Linked DNA regions of Styela clava. The protein of the gene in region 1 purifies or fractionates together with the protein of each later gene. This does not show direct contact. Links are inferred from orthologs where the notes say so. Each region holds a gene or a part of one and is shown on either strand. Other genes may lie near its edges.

Region 1 (8,281 bases):
GTATTATTCATAGAATGTAACTTTTCACGCTATACTCACATAGCCCGCCAGTCTAGGTGGGCAAAATTTTTGGCCCCTTGTTTAAATACCTTGCTCACCCCTGGTATATACGAAACTATGATAGTGTGTGCGATGCACATCTCAAACCCGACACGCTACCTCACTCCGCAGGGTGCAATAAATTAGGTATGCTATACCAAACCGGAATGATTTCGTTTCTTCCCAGAATAGTAACTCTTTGCATATTAGAGCTACTTGTACGGAGCCTTGTTCAGAGCGAAATACGTAACATAAGCGTCACATAAAATAGGATGAAAGGTAACAAGCTTTATTTTTTAGCTATATTTTTTGGAAACTCGTTAAAAACAAAACAAAACATTTAATCGAAGAGCAGGAGACCGCAGTGTGCTGAAAGTCTTTGAAAGTTGGCAACGGCTCATGAAAGATAGAACCACGGTACTAGACTTATTATAAAAACATACATGATATACATACCCTATATTTGCCCATATTTCTTCAACAGTTACATCGTTAGGATGTTCCCCCATTACCCATGTCCAAGGCTGGCCATTGCTGTCTTCCAAGATACGAATTTTTGCAGATTCTGAAATATTTAGATATTAATACACAATATTATAAGCTGTGGTTCTCAGCCTTTCATGGCTCATGGGCCTCCTTCCGGAAGGTATCAGCCCCCCTTACTCGTGCCCCCCTTAATATTATTCCTGTAGTATTTAGAGTGTTGTTTCGATTGGTTGATTACAAATCTCATTATGTTTAAACCATTCATGGTACGCAAAGTGAAACACTCTTTGAAAAAATTTATTAATAAGCAATGAAATTAGAAAAACGGGGAGTTGTTTTGTGGAAGGAACTGTAAAAATAGTTCTGCGAGTCATAAAAGGTCGGGAACCACTGCACTAGAGATTCATTCGTGAACGTTAGCTTATGTAAACAGCGATAAAAAAAACATCATTAGGTTTCTATCTTTTTTCTATCTATCCATTCGAAATCGAAATTTTGTAATAAAGTCAATATTATCATATAATATCGGTGTTTGTTCATAATAATACTGTTTATTCCATAATTGCATTGAGTGGGTGGTATATCTATGTTTGGTTAATATACAACTCAATATTGTATATCAGACGTCAACTTTAGATATAAAATCCCCGCTGTCTAGTCGTAAGTGGTGCTTTTATAAACCTCTTTCGATTCGGCTTTTTAATATTTTTAATGTTGAAGATAATATTATCGGTACTCCTGAAGTATGCGCACCAAGATGTCGCATAACCTGAACCCTAACCTGGTACACAACCTGAGTCAAGGTTGTGCGCCATCTTGGTGCGCATACTTCAGGAGGCCCATATAATCTTTACTTTCAGAAATTTATTTTCAAAAATAATGACGAAATTACACGGTTATTACTTAAATAAACCAGGGGGCTCTCAGGGGGTGTTATAAAGTTCGTTAGGAGGTTGACTATTATTGAAGGAGCCCCACAATAAATTTATGAAAATAAAAATATCTATTGGGATTTTTAGACAATGTGATATTTGAATTACAGCCTCGATTTCGAATTTTGTTAATACTTTTATTTGCATCTTTGAACAGTTACAAAATTAACCAAGTTGATATTTGAATTGATCGCGGAGCCCCTAGGTTTCTCCTGGGGCTAAACACTTTGAGAAACAATAACTTAGTTCTTCAACAATATAGGGAACACGTAAATTAAAATATTCGTGAAATTGGCTGCAGAGTATAATAATAAAAATATTCACGTATATAGGCAGCTCCCACTTTAGTATTTTTGACCTCATTTATATGGCTTTCTACCATGATGTAACAAAAAACTTTAGCTCATCTACAAAGAAACTATTTAATTTTAAGACCGCACACAAAGAAAGATGTGGATCAAATAAAACTTCATTTACTTTACTATTTTTTAAATTTACTTGGACAAAGTGGTTTTGTGAGAATTTGGGAGTAAACATCGCGGCGAATATGTGCAATAATAGTTTGAACAAAGAATCACATATAACTAAAATGTAAGAGGATAAGACAGAAAAATATGAAATACTCGACATCATCTAAAATATTATTAGGGAATAATATAGCAATACTCAAATATATGGACACGAAGATTGCCCATCGGTACCGGTACGGTTGTACGGTAAGCCCGAGAGTACCGAATTTTTCTAAGAAGATCCGCGGATAAGCAATGCTGAGAAAAAGGCTTTTACCTACAGTTGAAAACATAACAGAGTTTTTGGTGAAATAATGGGTGAAATAATGAGGAATTTTGAACAATTCGAAGAAAGTTCCTTCTAGCGACCATACTTCGATCTTTAATTATTAAGATTTGAAATTGATTTGCCCAAACAGCATTTTCGCAAAAGATACATTTTTACACTCCCTCTCAAATAACCGCTTCACCGAGAATTAGAGTACCGCAGAATAAGTACAAAATAGCCATTGCTTACTTTCACTTTGATTCGATTTCTTCGCCATCTTCTTTTCAAACTGTTTTTCACTTTCATAATATCGCCGTTTCTGTAAGACACATGTAAAGTAAGCTTTGATAAATAATTTAATTAGGATGAACTGTGTATTTACACCGTGACAATGAGTTCATGAGCATTCAGCATAGAACATTAAAACGTAAAAGATTATGTTCAAGGAGGCGAGAAAACGTAGTGGTTAGACAGGGGTGGGCAAGGTTTTTAGACACAGGGCCAAAAATGTTGCCCACCTAGACTGGCGGGCCATGTGAGTGTAACGAAAAACCTTGTAGAAAACAATAGGCCTCGTGCCAAAACTAAATTTAATCGCAATCACAACAAATTCCTTGAGCTATTTTTATCTGAAACCTCAAAATTAGGTTTAAGATTAGGTAAATCTCAAAAAGCCCATATACCGCATCTTTTGAGTGAAATATTTATAAATTGAACGGCAGACTCACACTTTTCTGGCCCAAGGCCCATGGCCTTGTTCCAAGCAAACTATAAAAAATAAAACTTTTACTAACCTGTTCTTCTCTGATTTTGAAAAATAAAATTTGTTTTTGTTCTTCCGGTAATTCCGCCAATATCTCGGGATCAACGTACATATCTTTGATTATTTGTTTCAACATTTTGCTTTGCTAGTTTATTTACTGATAAAATAAAATTCTGCGAAAATGGAATGTCACTATATTTAACAAAAATTTGTAAAAATATATCTTACTTTTATATTTCTGAACCCTCAGTCTCATCAGACATATAAATCTGTGCCACTAAATTTACATATTGAATCATTAGATTTCGATACCAGCGTAAGGTAGAAAGGAGTCTCTAGCCGAGTCACGAGCCACTCAAGTCGAGTTACCCTTACTGGCGATTAGTTGATGACGAGTCCGAGTAATTCCATTTAGATGACTCGGATTCAGGAGTGTACCCAGGTAAGGGGTATGAGGGGGAGTGCAGCTGCGGGGCGGAATTCCTCTTTTGAAATGTTAAAAGACATTTTTCGGGGCTCCCGAAGTATGCGAACCAAGATGGCGGACATCGGAATGTAATATGTGTACTAGGTTAGGATTAGGCCATAATTTTAGGTATAAATACTACGGGAGGCTCTTGGCTAGTCTTCGAACTGATAATATGACTAAAATAAGGAAAATTGGAAAAAAATTATTGCCTAACCCTAACCTGTTACCCATGTTACGTTCCGATGTCCGCCATCTTGGTTCGCATACTTCGGGAGCACCCATTTTACTGTATCCTACATAACAATTTTTCGTAGCTAAAACGCTGTTAGATGTTCATGGCTCTTGAACTCCGCACCCGCAAGCTGTTAGATCTAATTTGACAATTAGGAATTTTAGACCTCTCACCACCATTTGAAAATTCCTGATACGAACCTGCTCGGAGTCACTACTAGAGTGGGAGGCTTCTTGCAATGAGACTTTCTATTTTAAATGATTCGATTTGAGCTATTTGTAATAAAATTATATTTCAACAGATACTCAATATTATTTATGATCTTCGAAGATATCCATTCAACAGCACGACAGCGGGTACGCTGACCAAAGGGGAAATGCGTTAGCTATACTAACTGAATTAAATCCAAACATTGTAGCTCCTCAAGTCTATGTGATTGTTTAGAGAGCTTTATAAGTAGATGAGCATATATAAGAAAAGTACTAGATAAGAAGACCGGTATGTAAACGAAATTCGTCCTTTCAACGGGTATGCGCCATAAACAGACATAATCAATGCTAGAAAGATACTCATCTACAGTACACCCGATGCAATGTTCAATAAACTGAGCGCTGGTTTAAACTTTTGGGATTTAGAAACTAAATTATTAAAGCCAATAGAGTTGAAACATTAAGCACGGACATACATGAAGATTAGAAAATAAATATATCTTCCTTATGTATATATGATAATTCTATTAGGTTCTATTAATTTTTAATAGATGTTTACACAGTAAACCATTAGTGGTAAAACGAGTGGAATTTTTTTGTAAAAAATCCATAATTCAATTTGCGAAAATTAAAACATAATCTGGTTTATTATGCGTTTGCTTTTTGTATTCGATCTCAGATAATAAAAAAACGATTTAGTATTTTGCCAACCTGCAAAAATATTTCGAAATGCAAGAAGTTTTTTTCGTCGTACCCGCACTGCTTCATACTTTTCGATACTTTGTTCTGAGAAATGTCAGTGATAAATTCTAGGATTAATTCAGTTATTTCAAGAATAAAAAAGAGATATGACGTAGAAATCACGGTAAACTGAATAATTCACGCATATTGATTTCCCTAAATTGTCAAAAACCCGTCTCGAACAGCTATATCCATTCGCATTTAACGAGCATGTTCCAAACAGAATTAACTTTAAAAATATAGGCTCAATATAGGCTACATCTGCTTATAGATAGAACATTGGTACATCGAACTTTAGGTATCGAAATCGACCGAGTACCATTGCCTCGAAACACGAAGCATAGTATTTAGTATGGCACTGTAGTACGGCTTTCTATACCATACCATCGGAGTCCATGATGTGAAACGAGTTATTCTCACAACCAAGGTTGATTGCTGGTCTAAACTAAACGTCGTTGCCCACTTTATATTTAGGCGACAGGTCGGGCTTACTTTTCCCTGAGATAAAAGAAAAATCCTATCTCAAGTTCACATAACTCAAAATATAAATCAGTCGGTGCCGAATACCTAATTGATAACAAAACATATATATATATATGTGATATAAAATTAGACTGACTATTGGTAAAGTTATATAGTAAGTCTTGTAGAATACCTGCGACCCGTTAATCAACTAACTTTACCCATCGTATATATAAAATGCTACTTTATCCCTAGGAAAGGCGCAGTCGTCTGTACGAGATTGAGACGTTTTTTTTCCGGGCATTGAATATAAAAATCTTATGTCCAGTGATGGGATTCAATATTTTAACAATAAACTTTCTTTTTGTATAGAACTCGTTCGCTCGCTCATTTCAAAAAATTTATATATGTATGCGATTACTTAAGCTACATTATCATGACATGTTTACATAATTCTAATATATAGCCTACATACATAACTTTCGAAATGCAAAATATAGGCTAGTCGTCAGCTGTGGTGCACGTTACCCATTTGCTTCCTCGCCGTGTGTGTACGTGTAAAAACAAGAACAGGTTAGTGGATCATGACAACATTCCGAGAACGGGATCGCCCCTGAATCACACCGCTGCCTATGGCTATATGCACTAAACGGAGTGGCCGCTAAACGGGGTGGAAAAACATAAAATTTGTCGAACAGCTATATATTTTTACAAGTGAAGATTTGAAAACGAACTTTGAACGATATCCCACAAGTAAACTCTTTTAAACGCTATGCAAGCTCGGACTTCTTGGTTAAGACACTGCTCTGAAGTGCACGGAATCGTTTTGAGCATCTATAAATGTAATATACCATGTGTCTTTAGAGATCTCCGTAAAAGTTATTCTTATATATATTAAAGGATAACATCACCTTGCTACAGTTTGCTATGTGGAATAACCTTAAAACTGAAACAAATTCTTTTTCGGCGTGGATATGATGTCAATTAGACAATAACAAACACGTAAAAGCGAAAGTCTTTTTGTTTGGTGATAACATTTTATTGATAATTTACAGCTTCGAATGACGCGATACAAAATAGTTTAGTTATAAAGCAATTAATTTTAATGAGCCGTGTTGTATTTTGTTTCACCCCGTAAAAGTATACATTACCGGAGCTGGTACGGTAATTAACATTAGAAAAACATCACGAAAAACTAGGGCGTCATGAAAATTGTGACCGTGCTGCCGTGTTTCCCCGAAAATAAGACAGGGTCTTATTACAATCTTCTTTCGAAAAATAACGCTGCAGCCGAACATTTGCAGCCAATTCTGTCACATAAAACTAGGTTTTTCAACTGTATTGGCTTCGAAAGGCTTACAAATAATTATACTAAACATTTGGTTTCTGCGAGACTAACTATTTGTCCTTCTTTTATGCTTTTGTGCCGATGGACCCGTATGCATATAATACATGGATGCTGTAGCAGGAGTAAGGATAACTATCCTAAGAGATTCAACAGTTTTGCTGCACGCTAACACTATTCTGTCCAACGCCAGACGAAACATTACAGAAATATATTTGTGTTAGTGTGCAACACGACTCTTGAATCACCCATGCAAATATTTATAAGTCCAGATTTCCCGTTACAATTCTACCTTATCCAGTTTCTATTATTTCTCATTCACAGCTCAGAATACACAATTCAGCTCGCATCTACACTTCACTGATTTTCCTTCCCACTCAAGCAGCCATGTTGATGAAATACTTCAAAACAGCGTAACCGTAGACGGCTTGTTTTCACACTTTTTGCGAATACATGTTTGCAGTAATTGTAAAATTTGATAGCTCCGCATGATTGGGTGGCGCCTATATGAGCTCGTGCGTTTCAAGGCGAAAACCATAAAAAGTAGCAAACTTGGAATACGATAAGGGAATGCAAATCAGGAAGTATCCAATACGAATATAATAGCTGAATTTCTATTTAGCATTGCGTTATTTCAAAATTACTTAAAAAAATATAAGCTGAACTCGGTAGCGTATTAGAGGCACTAAACCACGGCCTCCATCACTACAGTTCGATATTATGACGTAACATTTTAAACTATGACGTAACGTTTTGAAATTTCTGTCAAACTCATCGAGAATATACTTAATGGCGTATTCGTCTACACTCAAACCCTGAAAAAGGTGTTCAAGAACCTCGAATAACAAAGGCTTGGATTCATAGGCTCAAAACAAATTAAGGTACAGATTCCCCATAATTAAAAGTTACTTAATTGCAACTTGAAAACGAAAATTGTTTTAATATTACTCTTTCTCACCACATAATTTCATGGCTATAGTAAATAATGGTATCCTACAGCTATTTGCAATGTCGTCCGCAAAATTTCACAGAAAAATAAACAAAAGTCCATATGGCGCCACGCGGACTTTGGCTATGATGAAATTCAGAATAAAGACCGTATGGTATTGGTAACACAAAAGAAATGGAATCTACCTTTTTGGTGGTAATATACCATTTCATGTAACCGTTTGTAGTTGCACGAAAGGCGCAATGCAGCCAGACCTACCGTGAAATATTGTTTACCTTATATGTATATTAAACAGACCTAAAAGAAGTGTATATGTACCGATATGAAGGTAACTAACTTTGTTCGCCTACTTTACATTAAGTTGTGTAAAGGGACTGGTACCTATGGCCAAGGAGTATATTCTCGTAGTAGAATTTAAATAAAGAAAATCGGAATAAAATTATGCCTTAACCCTAACCTGGCACACATACTACGAGAGTACCTAATAAACAATCGATATGCTGAGCTAAATGCCGAAGCAATGAACAGATGGGATTTCTTCATAACGTAGCTCATATGCGAGTGAGGTAAATATTCATTTCGAAGTACACAATCTAAATATGCTAACTTAATAGCTAAATGTAGCAGCAGTAAATGTGTATGTATTCTCTTGCTATACCGTCTATAAGTAATTTTTAGACTTTAAGTTGTTTGCTGCCTTTGCTTTGGAAAACTAACATAAAGAACATCATTTACACTCCTGCCTCCCAAAAATAATTCACTGCCAAAGTTAAGGAAATCTTCCCTATAAGATGTATCAAAATATATATTATAGTAATAAATTACCTATTTGGGCATCACACAAATATTGCCCTTAGGCGTGTAGGTTTGAATAGAA
Region 2 (8,230 bases), on another chromosome or scaffold:
AATAAGCATAAAAATAACAGGTTCGTGCCAATATATCAATGTCTCTCACGATTTATACTATGTACAATATTTACATGAATTTACTATTTTCAATTATGGAAGCATTCTTTTAAATAATGGGATTTTGCACAAATTGAAATTATACTGCAAAATATAAAATGATCGAAACGAAAAAAAGTGGGAAAGCAGGTCAGACAAGCTACGGTACCGGTACCGGTACCGGTACCCATTATTCTGCTATTTGGGTAACTTGTTTTATTGAATGAATATAAGTTAAACATATCAAGTTGGATTTTGAATAAGCAAATATGGGTGGAGTTCTATTCTACTATACACACACTAGTGCAATGTAATCAGAAGCATGGGTTGGGTCATCAAAACAAATTAGAATTTGGTTTAAACAACAAAAAAATGCATTTCAAAAATGCAATACATTGTAAACTTTGTATAAACAAACAATCAATATTAAAATATCAAGAAAGGTACCGTAATGAAAAAACACAACAGTTGACTTAATGTAGGAATAGCCTAATTACATGAATTAGGATACGAATACCAGTAAATAGAATAGGCCTACTTAATGTAGGAATAAATAGTAGGCCTATCTGTCTATTGAATGCTTTACCGATATTGTCTTATATTAACTTTAGGACGCTGCTGGTCTTAAAAGAGCTATTATAGGCCTAGCTCTGTATAATCAGATAATAGTCTGGTAGTAAACGTGTGTTGTCGGGTGAAAAGGATACCGTACCTACCGGTACCGGTATGCAATGGTGGAAAAAAAAGATCATTCCAGTTCTTCAAATCCAACTACATACTATGACCTCTTGGCCAGTAAAGTGTCACAGCTAGCTCAAAAAGAAAGGTATGGAAAACTGATGCCATTTACTCGGAATTATGTCTGATTTATTATACCGGTACCTGCATTGAAATCGATAGGAATGCAGCCATGACTGCATGAAATGCAGAAATATTGCTTCTGTACTTACAGCCTTTTACAGTATTTTTAATATTACGTCAGTACAGTACCAAAGGCTACTAAAGTGACTCAAGAACCTCTGTGAAGTTAGCAGAAAATCACGAAATTAGAGCTGACAGAATCGCAGAAAATTCCTACACATAAAAACAAATGTTCCCAATCATTTTGTGCTAGGATGTGTATATTTACACATTATATACATGTGTCGTAACCCTACCGTTTGTGAAAAATTCCTGATGTGAAAAAAGTGAAATTTCATCTACAAAAAAGCAACAGCGTCGTTTTACGGTTGCGTATCATGGTTTCGCTGTCAAAACGATATAATTCTGTGTGTTATCACCGTAGCGCAATTAGCCAGACTTTTTTTTGCCTTCACGATATATTATCTTTTATATCCGAATTTCGGAAAGCGTATTCACCTTTCTCTCCATGAAACAGACATGAAACGAATTTTACCGCCCGATCAAAAGGACAAAAAGGTTATAAGCTAATTTAAGAACTTTCTTTTCCTGACTCAATCACTTTTATTAATACAAATCACAGCGCATTGAAAAGCAAAATAGAATTTATTAACATTAATTTTATGTAATACAGGTAAATAATGTATTTCATGTAAATTTCTCGAGATATTAGAAAAAATATTATTTTGACCATGTAGAAATGCCAATTATTGCCGATTTATTCATGTGTTTAGTATCAATAAAAAAAAAGAGGGTTTTAATTCAAAGCTGAGTTTCAACGTGAATATTCAACTCTTGAGTATTCAAGAGAATACCAATTTGCAGAGTTTTTCAATTATTATTTAATACGAAAGTAACACGGACACAGTCAAAAATTAAAAGCATAGAAATGTCAACTATTCGCTTCACAAATTTTGCATCCCGGGGTCAGTAATGATAATAATGTTCGCTTAAAATTGGGACCTTAATTCACAAACTGTGATACAAATCCTACACAGAAGATAAAAATCAGAATAAAATTAATTTGTGTTTTGAATGCACTATTGCACCCCTTAATAGTTGTCTTTAACATCTTCGTCGATGTGAACTCACAATCATGTTCAATATATAAAATCCAAACTATGATATCCGCCGTGAGGATAAATATTTGCTAGTGAATAAAAAAGTACTTTAATATAGTTTAACTAACAGTTGAGGTTGCGTGAAACTAACTACCTTTCCTTGCTCTAAATGCCTTTGCATATAGTTTAACAGCATTAATTGGGTATCGGCCGCCAAAACGATCGCGGTGACAAAAAATTTAGTCAGGCCTTCGATTATGAAAATATTATGAAATAAAAAAACGTGGCTCTTACGGAGTTTTCAGTTATCTAGTAAATTCAAAAAAAAAATTTACTGTGACAGCGATCGTTTCGGCGGCTGACTTCCCAATTAATGTTGTTTAGAATGACAATACTCATTATTTGATGTTCGTTAAAAATATTCGAATAACTCGATTAAAAAATACGATTCTACCCGCCACTAATCATGGCGCATGTAAATAATCATTTAACGGAAATAAAAAAAATCGACTCCATTAACAATGAATTCCAAGTAATAGTTTCACATTTCATACTTTTGATCGGCGCTACATGCGAGCAAGTACATATAAACCATTATGACGCTACTGACATCTGGGAGTTATAGTTCTCTCTAAAAAATTAATTTTACCGATTTTTCACGTTTTATTTCTAAATGCGGGTACCCGCTGACTACGGATTAATGGGAACACCGTCAGGCAAAGAGAGACGGGCTGCACGTAACTGTGGAATTTTGATGTGAGCGACCATACATTATACTTATAGTTCATTAAACGCATTACGTCGTCGTGAATTGCACTTTCGGTGCACTGTTTTAGTTTCATTGTATGTCGTGTATGTCATCTACTACATTAAGAAGGGGTATTATAGAATCTGTAAAGCAACGATGCTAGAGATACTTGACTTATAATTTTAATGTAATTTATTTTAGTCAGTTGTAATAATCAAGGTATTTCACAACAATCTCTTATGGAAATAAAATTTAAATGGAAATTCTAAGATGAAAAATTGTCAATGACAAGAAAAATACGGTGCTCTTCGCACTGGATTTAAAAATTATCATGCCAAGTTGCCGTTATGCTATTGTTGTTCTTTTTAAGAAATCTGCTGCAGTTTGATAATGTGAACATCAGAAGTGCCGTGGCCACTGCATCTGCTATTATTATGAATGTTGCCCTCAAGCGAGCATTGGTCTTGTACGAAGGAGTAATAGTAACAGCGGTGTCTGTTTCGATCACTGCCATTGGATCACATTTTGCACTAGATAAACTTCTTGTTCAGTCTCCAATGTTTTCAGGTATATCTTATATACAAATTCCTGAAATTAAAAATTTTTTGGATTTAGAGAATCTGATTTTTGAATCAGCAAAAGTAACTGCCAGTAGTAGATCGTTACCCATCGAACATACCAACAGCTGTTGTAACTAACACAGAAATAGGCGATTTATAAATTTAACTTCAATGTGCCATTGTTTATAGGCGGAAATTAATGTGGCCCACACGCTACTGTCATAAAGTTTGCTGACAACTTATTCAAACCAATTTATGGGTGTGAAACTAACGGAGGCATTAATCATGATTATTGACAACATTATCATTAAATTACACTGCATATGTAGATCCTGATTTTTGCATGACATGTACTACAATTCGAGGAGGTTTTTCTCAGGCTGTGTCATCAACTATTCTTCCAATTGCAACTTCCTTAGCAGCAAATGCTGTTATTGCTGATCGGTAAGATTTTTTTAATGAAGAAATAGGCATGCATTATACCATTCTATGGATTAGTGAATAATTTGGTAAGAAACAATTATATTCAAAAATTTGACTGTAATTGATGAATTGGTTAAATTAGTTAGGTTTACAGCGGAATTATGAATAATATTGTTCAAATTTGCTGCCCTGCAGGCTAATCAGTTCAGTGGGAAACTAGGTGGTATTTGATAGTATTCTTCATGGGTTGATCAAATAAAATTGCAGACTATGATTTCAGAGCATTGAAATATTCATATGGACAGCCTAACATCATTTCAGTGTCTCTATCGAATCAATTCTCTGATTTTTTCAACAGTTTTGTTAAATTTTTTCATTTCAGGTACACTAATTTGCATATACCAGCACTAAGATGGAAAAATAGAATAGAAGCCTATAGATTTTGGAGCGGAAAATTGCGATCAACAAAATCTTTATTCCTTTTAAGTCTTGGATTTCAATCACTTTTTGGGGCCTATGTTGCTTATAAACAAAGTGTTATCATGAAAGAAATACATAATACTGTAACTGATGAAGAACTTGATGCAATAGCTAATGCAGTTTCTTCTGATTATCGAAGTTTGGTCAAATACAATGGATAGCTGATGGAACCTTTTGTTGATCACCAAGTGATATGTAGTGCAGTTTGCTTGTGGAAGTTACACAACCATATGGATAGTTTGACTTTGCTGTCAACTAGTATTTGATGGCGTCATCGTTAAAGTTATCTTTTTTGACTTATAAGAACTTTGTTGCAAAAATGTCAAATCAAAATGCCATACATAACATGATTATTGTTTAGTTTTTTATCGATTTAAATTGAAAAGGTGAAAAATATACTACTGAATAATCCAATGATATCAAAATTTTTCTGTACCATACGATAAAGTTTTGTGTAATTTGTGATGTATGGTGCAATTGATGCAAATTTTAAATTGTAACACCTGATGCTATTAGTCGACATGATTTTGATGTAAAATTTGCATCTTGCAAAATAAATATGTGGTGTTTGAAGTAACACGTATGTACCTTATTGTTGATTCTTCTTCCCTGCTTTTGTGTTTGTGGATCTGCTAAATTGTTTGTTTCTCTTGGTTTGAATGACTTATTTTCTATAATCAGGAAAAACAACCTACGAAAAATGTGTATTCTGTTAGTGGATTCATACCACTTTGTGACAGTTTACTACAGCTTTATATTTGCATTGGTTATCAGCATTTCTCCTGCACCATGCTGCTATTGCTACATTTCATCAACACTGTTTTCATTTTTAAGATGAACAACTAGTTCTAATGCTTATGATAGTTCAGCTGGGTAATCAACTTGTTGAAGACAACGGATAGAAATGCAAGACGGTGAGGTGAAATACAATTTTTGAACTTTGAAGTGGAATGAAATGTAATGGATATTTTTTCCAACTCTACGTACAATTATTTCTGGCATTGGTGGGCTGCATTGATAAAAAAACTTAGTTTTAGTATGACATGTCCTCTCCAGTTCTTGCATCTTTGGTTCTTGTTAATGGTATATATTACATATCTTCAAAGTTTTCCCGCCTATTTTATTGCATTTTGACTGTACGTAGTTCAGCTAAATTGTGAACAGAGAATTCAAAAACGAAGAACCTACAAATTGCCCTGTTAGGATGGTAATTATACATGCTAGTTAACGTTGCATGTTTGTTTGTTTTGCTGAAAACCTGAATAATTTTAGATATAATTGATTTCTGAGTCTGAGATATGAAAGCATTTTCAATATGTCATTCTAAAATACATTGTGGTTTTTATTTCTTGTTATTGCAGGCTGATAAAGATGTCTTAACAGACGGCGAAGAAGAGAAAGCGGAAGAAGACAATACAAATGATGATTTTGACATAAGGAAAGCAGTGGAGGCAGATGCAGAAGTAAGTCTTATTTGTAATGTATTTCAATTTTATTAACTTCGGTTACACTGCTAAACAATACAAGCATGCCTAAAGACCCATACTCTGTTATTGTTCAGAGCACACGAAACCCATTACAGTGATACCTTGGTAGTCAAATGACTCAATACTCGAACAATTCAGTAGTCGCCAAAAAATTCTAGTCAAAAATGTGCTCGAACATGCCTCTTGACCATTCAACAAGGGAGCGATGCTCAAATATACGGACACAAAGCCCAAAATGAAGTCACAGTAGACTACTGGTACATCATCGCACATAAAAACGAATTCGACGAAAATTTGTGCACTTACAGTAACTAACTGATAAAATTTTCATTGTTATTATATTTACTCTTTAATATGTACGCATTTAAATAATTATTGTTGTTTGGGACTCGTTTGTTAATATTTCTGGTATTTTGGAATATGTAAGAACGAATTAAAATAGTCAGCATTGTTGTTTGTTACCCAAAAAAGATTCGGTACTCTGACAAATCAGTATTCTAACAGCAATCTGGAACGAATTATGTTTGACTACCGAGGTATCCCTGTGATATTATCTCGATGTTATAGTAGGGGTTCTATCAATGTTTTTGTTGACCTGTGGTCTGATTAATAGCAAAAAGTAATTAGGTGTTCACTATTTATTTTATTTGCAGTATGTTAATCTTGAGCACTTTCGAATCGGGGATTTAAAAGGATTTGAATACCTTACCCATGTTGTTGAACTTTGCTTGAGGAATAATTCAATAAAGAACACTTCAGGATTGCAATGTCTTTCGGGAACATTAAAAAATCTTGATCTTTATGATAATAAATTGAAGAAAATTGAGAATCTAGATGACTTAACAAAACTAGAGTGAGTTCGTATATATTTATGTGTTGATTTTGTATCCCTACCATTTTGTTTTTCTAGTCTGATTATTTTATTGAAGCCATTTTTCTGAAATTCAATTCTGAAATTTGACTCTTTTCTTCCTATCGAGTTATTGATGAAACATGTATTCTACTGTATATGACAACTCGGTGAACTGATTGAGTGATTTTTTCATTAATTTGTGTGTCTGGATGACCCATCACAATAAAAGAGTCACATACAATTACGTTGTATTACTTTAAATATCTTTCAAGTATCCAAGATTCGACTCGAAAAAAATATTCAATTCTATTCCTAATTCCTCAGATATTTGGAAATGCCTGAAATTTGAATATTTTACATATTCAAATTTTTTGATCAATCAGTTTGAATTCTGAACGCTTTACTAGGTGATAAGATACATTTAACTTTCTTTGACAATTTGGTTTATTTTTCTGCCAAATATGAATATGTTGTGAATTGTTTTTATGGCTTATTTTCACGCTGTTCCTCTAGTTTCACAGTAATATAAGTAAGTTTAATAATATTACAGTATATATATATTCGCTTTAGATATATTCTCAACTGATGAGAAACCATGGTAATTGGTGAACATCTTCACAGCAGCAAATTTTAAATGTTCAAAATCCTTTTTCAGGGTTTTGGATTTGTCCTTCAATTTAATAAGAAAAATGGAATGTATTGGAAGTTTGACTCTGTTAAAGAAGCTCTACTTTGTTTCAAATAAAATTTCAAAAATAGAAAATTTGAACTCACTTACAGAACTTACTCTGTTGGAGTTGGGTGACAACAGAGTAAAGGTAAAAGCAATATTTTATGACATCAGTTTTTGTGTGTTTTCCACTGCTCCAGATAATGTTCTATGGAATACCGGTATATGGGCTGTATTCTTTGTACACTTTATTAACATTTCTTATGGTTGAATGTAACTAAGTAGTGTATTAAAATATTTTTAGTACATCCAAATCCAGGTAAACATACTCATAAATGCATTGACTACTGCATGCTTTCTCTTGTTAACAATTCAATGATATAAAGGCCATGAATATAGTATTGGAATTGGGGGATGTTTGAGCAGATTGTAGAGTTGGAATTGCTCTGACTACCCCTCCGGGATGACAGAATTAATGCTTCTTTGATATTTCAATTAAGAAAAGCGACTCCATCTCATAAATTTAGGGTGTCTGTCTAGAAATGTTCTATCTGCATAATTAAAAATTGACTGGGAAATCTCAAAAAACTGCATTTAATTTGAAAATAGGATATTGGCTTTGACATGAATAAAGTCAGACAACCCCGCTTCTCAGCCTGGTATGAATTCCCTAAATTGATCATTCGTACTAATCTCTACTTTTTGTATTTCTCAGCACATAGAAAATCTTGAATCTCTCAAAAATCTGGAAGAACTTTACTTAGGAAAAAACAAGTTGTCAAAAATTGTTAATTTGAATGCATTAGTCAATATTAAAATACTTGCATTGCAAAGCAACAGGATTACTGTAATGGAAGGATTCGAAACACTCATCAACTTAGAGCAATTGTACATCAGTCACAATGGGATTGAAGTTCTACAAGGACTTGAAAAGAATGTAAGAAACAAATAAATGTTTCATTTTATGTTATAAATACACTAGAACCTCGACTAGAGGAAACACTTAATA

What was found.
Region 2: the proteins of SH2 domain-containing protein 4A-like (region 1) and uncharacterized protein LOC120327913 purify together in Homo sapiens (affinity purification with mass spectrometry; 3 studies listed by BioGRID and IntAct, counting the BioPlex papers as one, with this or other methods). This does not show direct contact. The link is inferred for Styela clava from reciprocal best matches to the Homo sapiens genes SH2D4A and PPP1R7.

The regions. Positions count from the first base shown.
Region 1 is NC_135250.1:4,400,805-4,409,085, forward strand, and holds the start of SH2 domain-containing protein 4A-like, read right to left. Parts: upstream 3,171-8,281; 5' UTR 3,134-3,170; coding exon 3,029-3,133; intron 2,554-3,028; coding exon 2,484-2,553; intron 605-2,483; coding exon 496-604; intron 1-495. UniProt on the Homo sapiens protein: Inhibits estrogen-induced cell proliferation by competing with PLCG for binding to ESR1, blocking the effect of estrogen on PLCG and repressing estrogen-induced proliferation. May play a role in T-cell development and function.
Region 2 is NC_135256.1:8,592,918-8,601,147, forward strand, and holds the start of uncharacterized protein LOC120327913, read left to right. Parts: upstream 1-4,990; 5' UTR 4,991-5,115; coding exon 5,116-5,130; intron 5,131-5,572; coding exon 5,573-5,674; intron 5,675-6,351; coding exon 6,352-6,551; intron 6,552-7,206; coding exon 7,207-7,369; intron 7,370-7,936; coding exon 7,937-8,158; intron 8,159-8,230. Other genes in the region: transmembrane protein 126A-like, read left to right, coding at 771-865, 3,119-3,315, 3,638-3,752, 4,114-4,372. UniProt on the Homo sapiens protein: Regulatory subunit of protein phosphatase 1.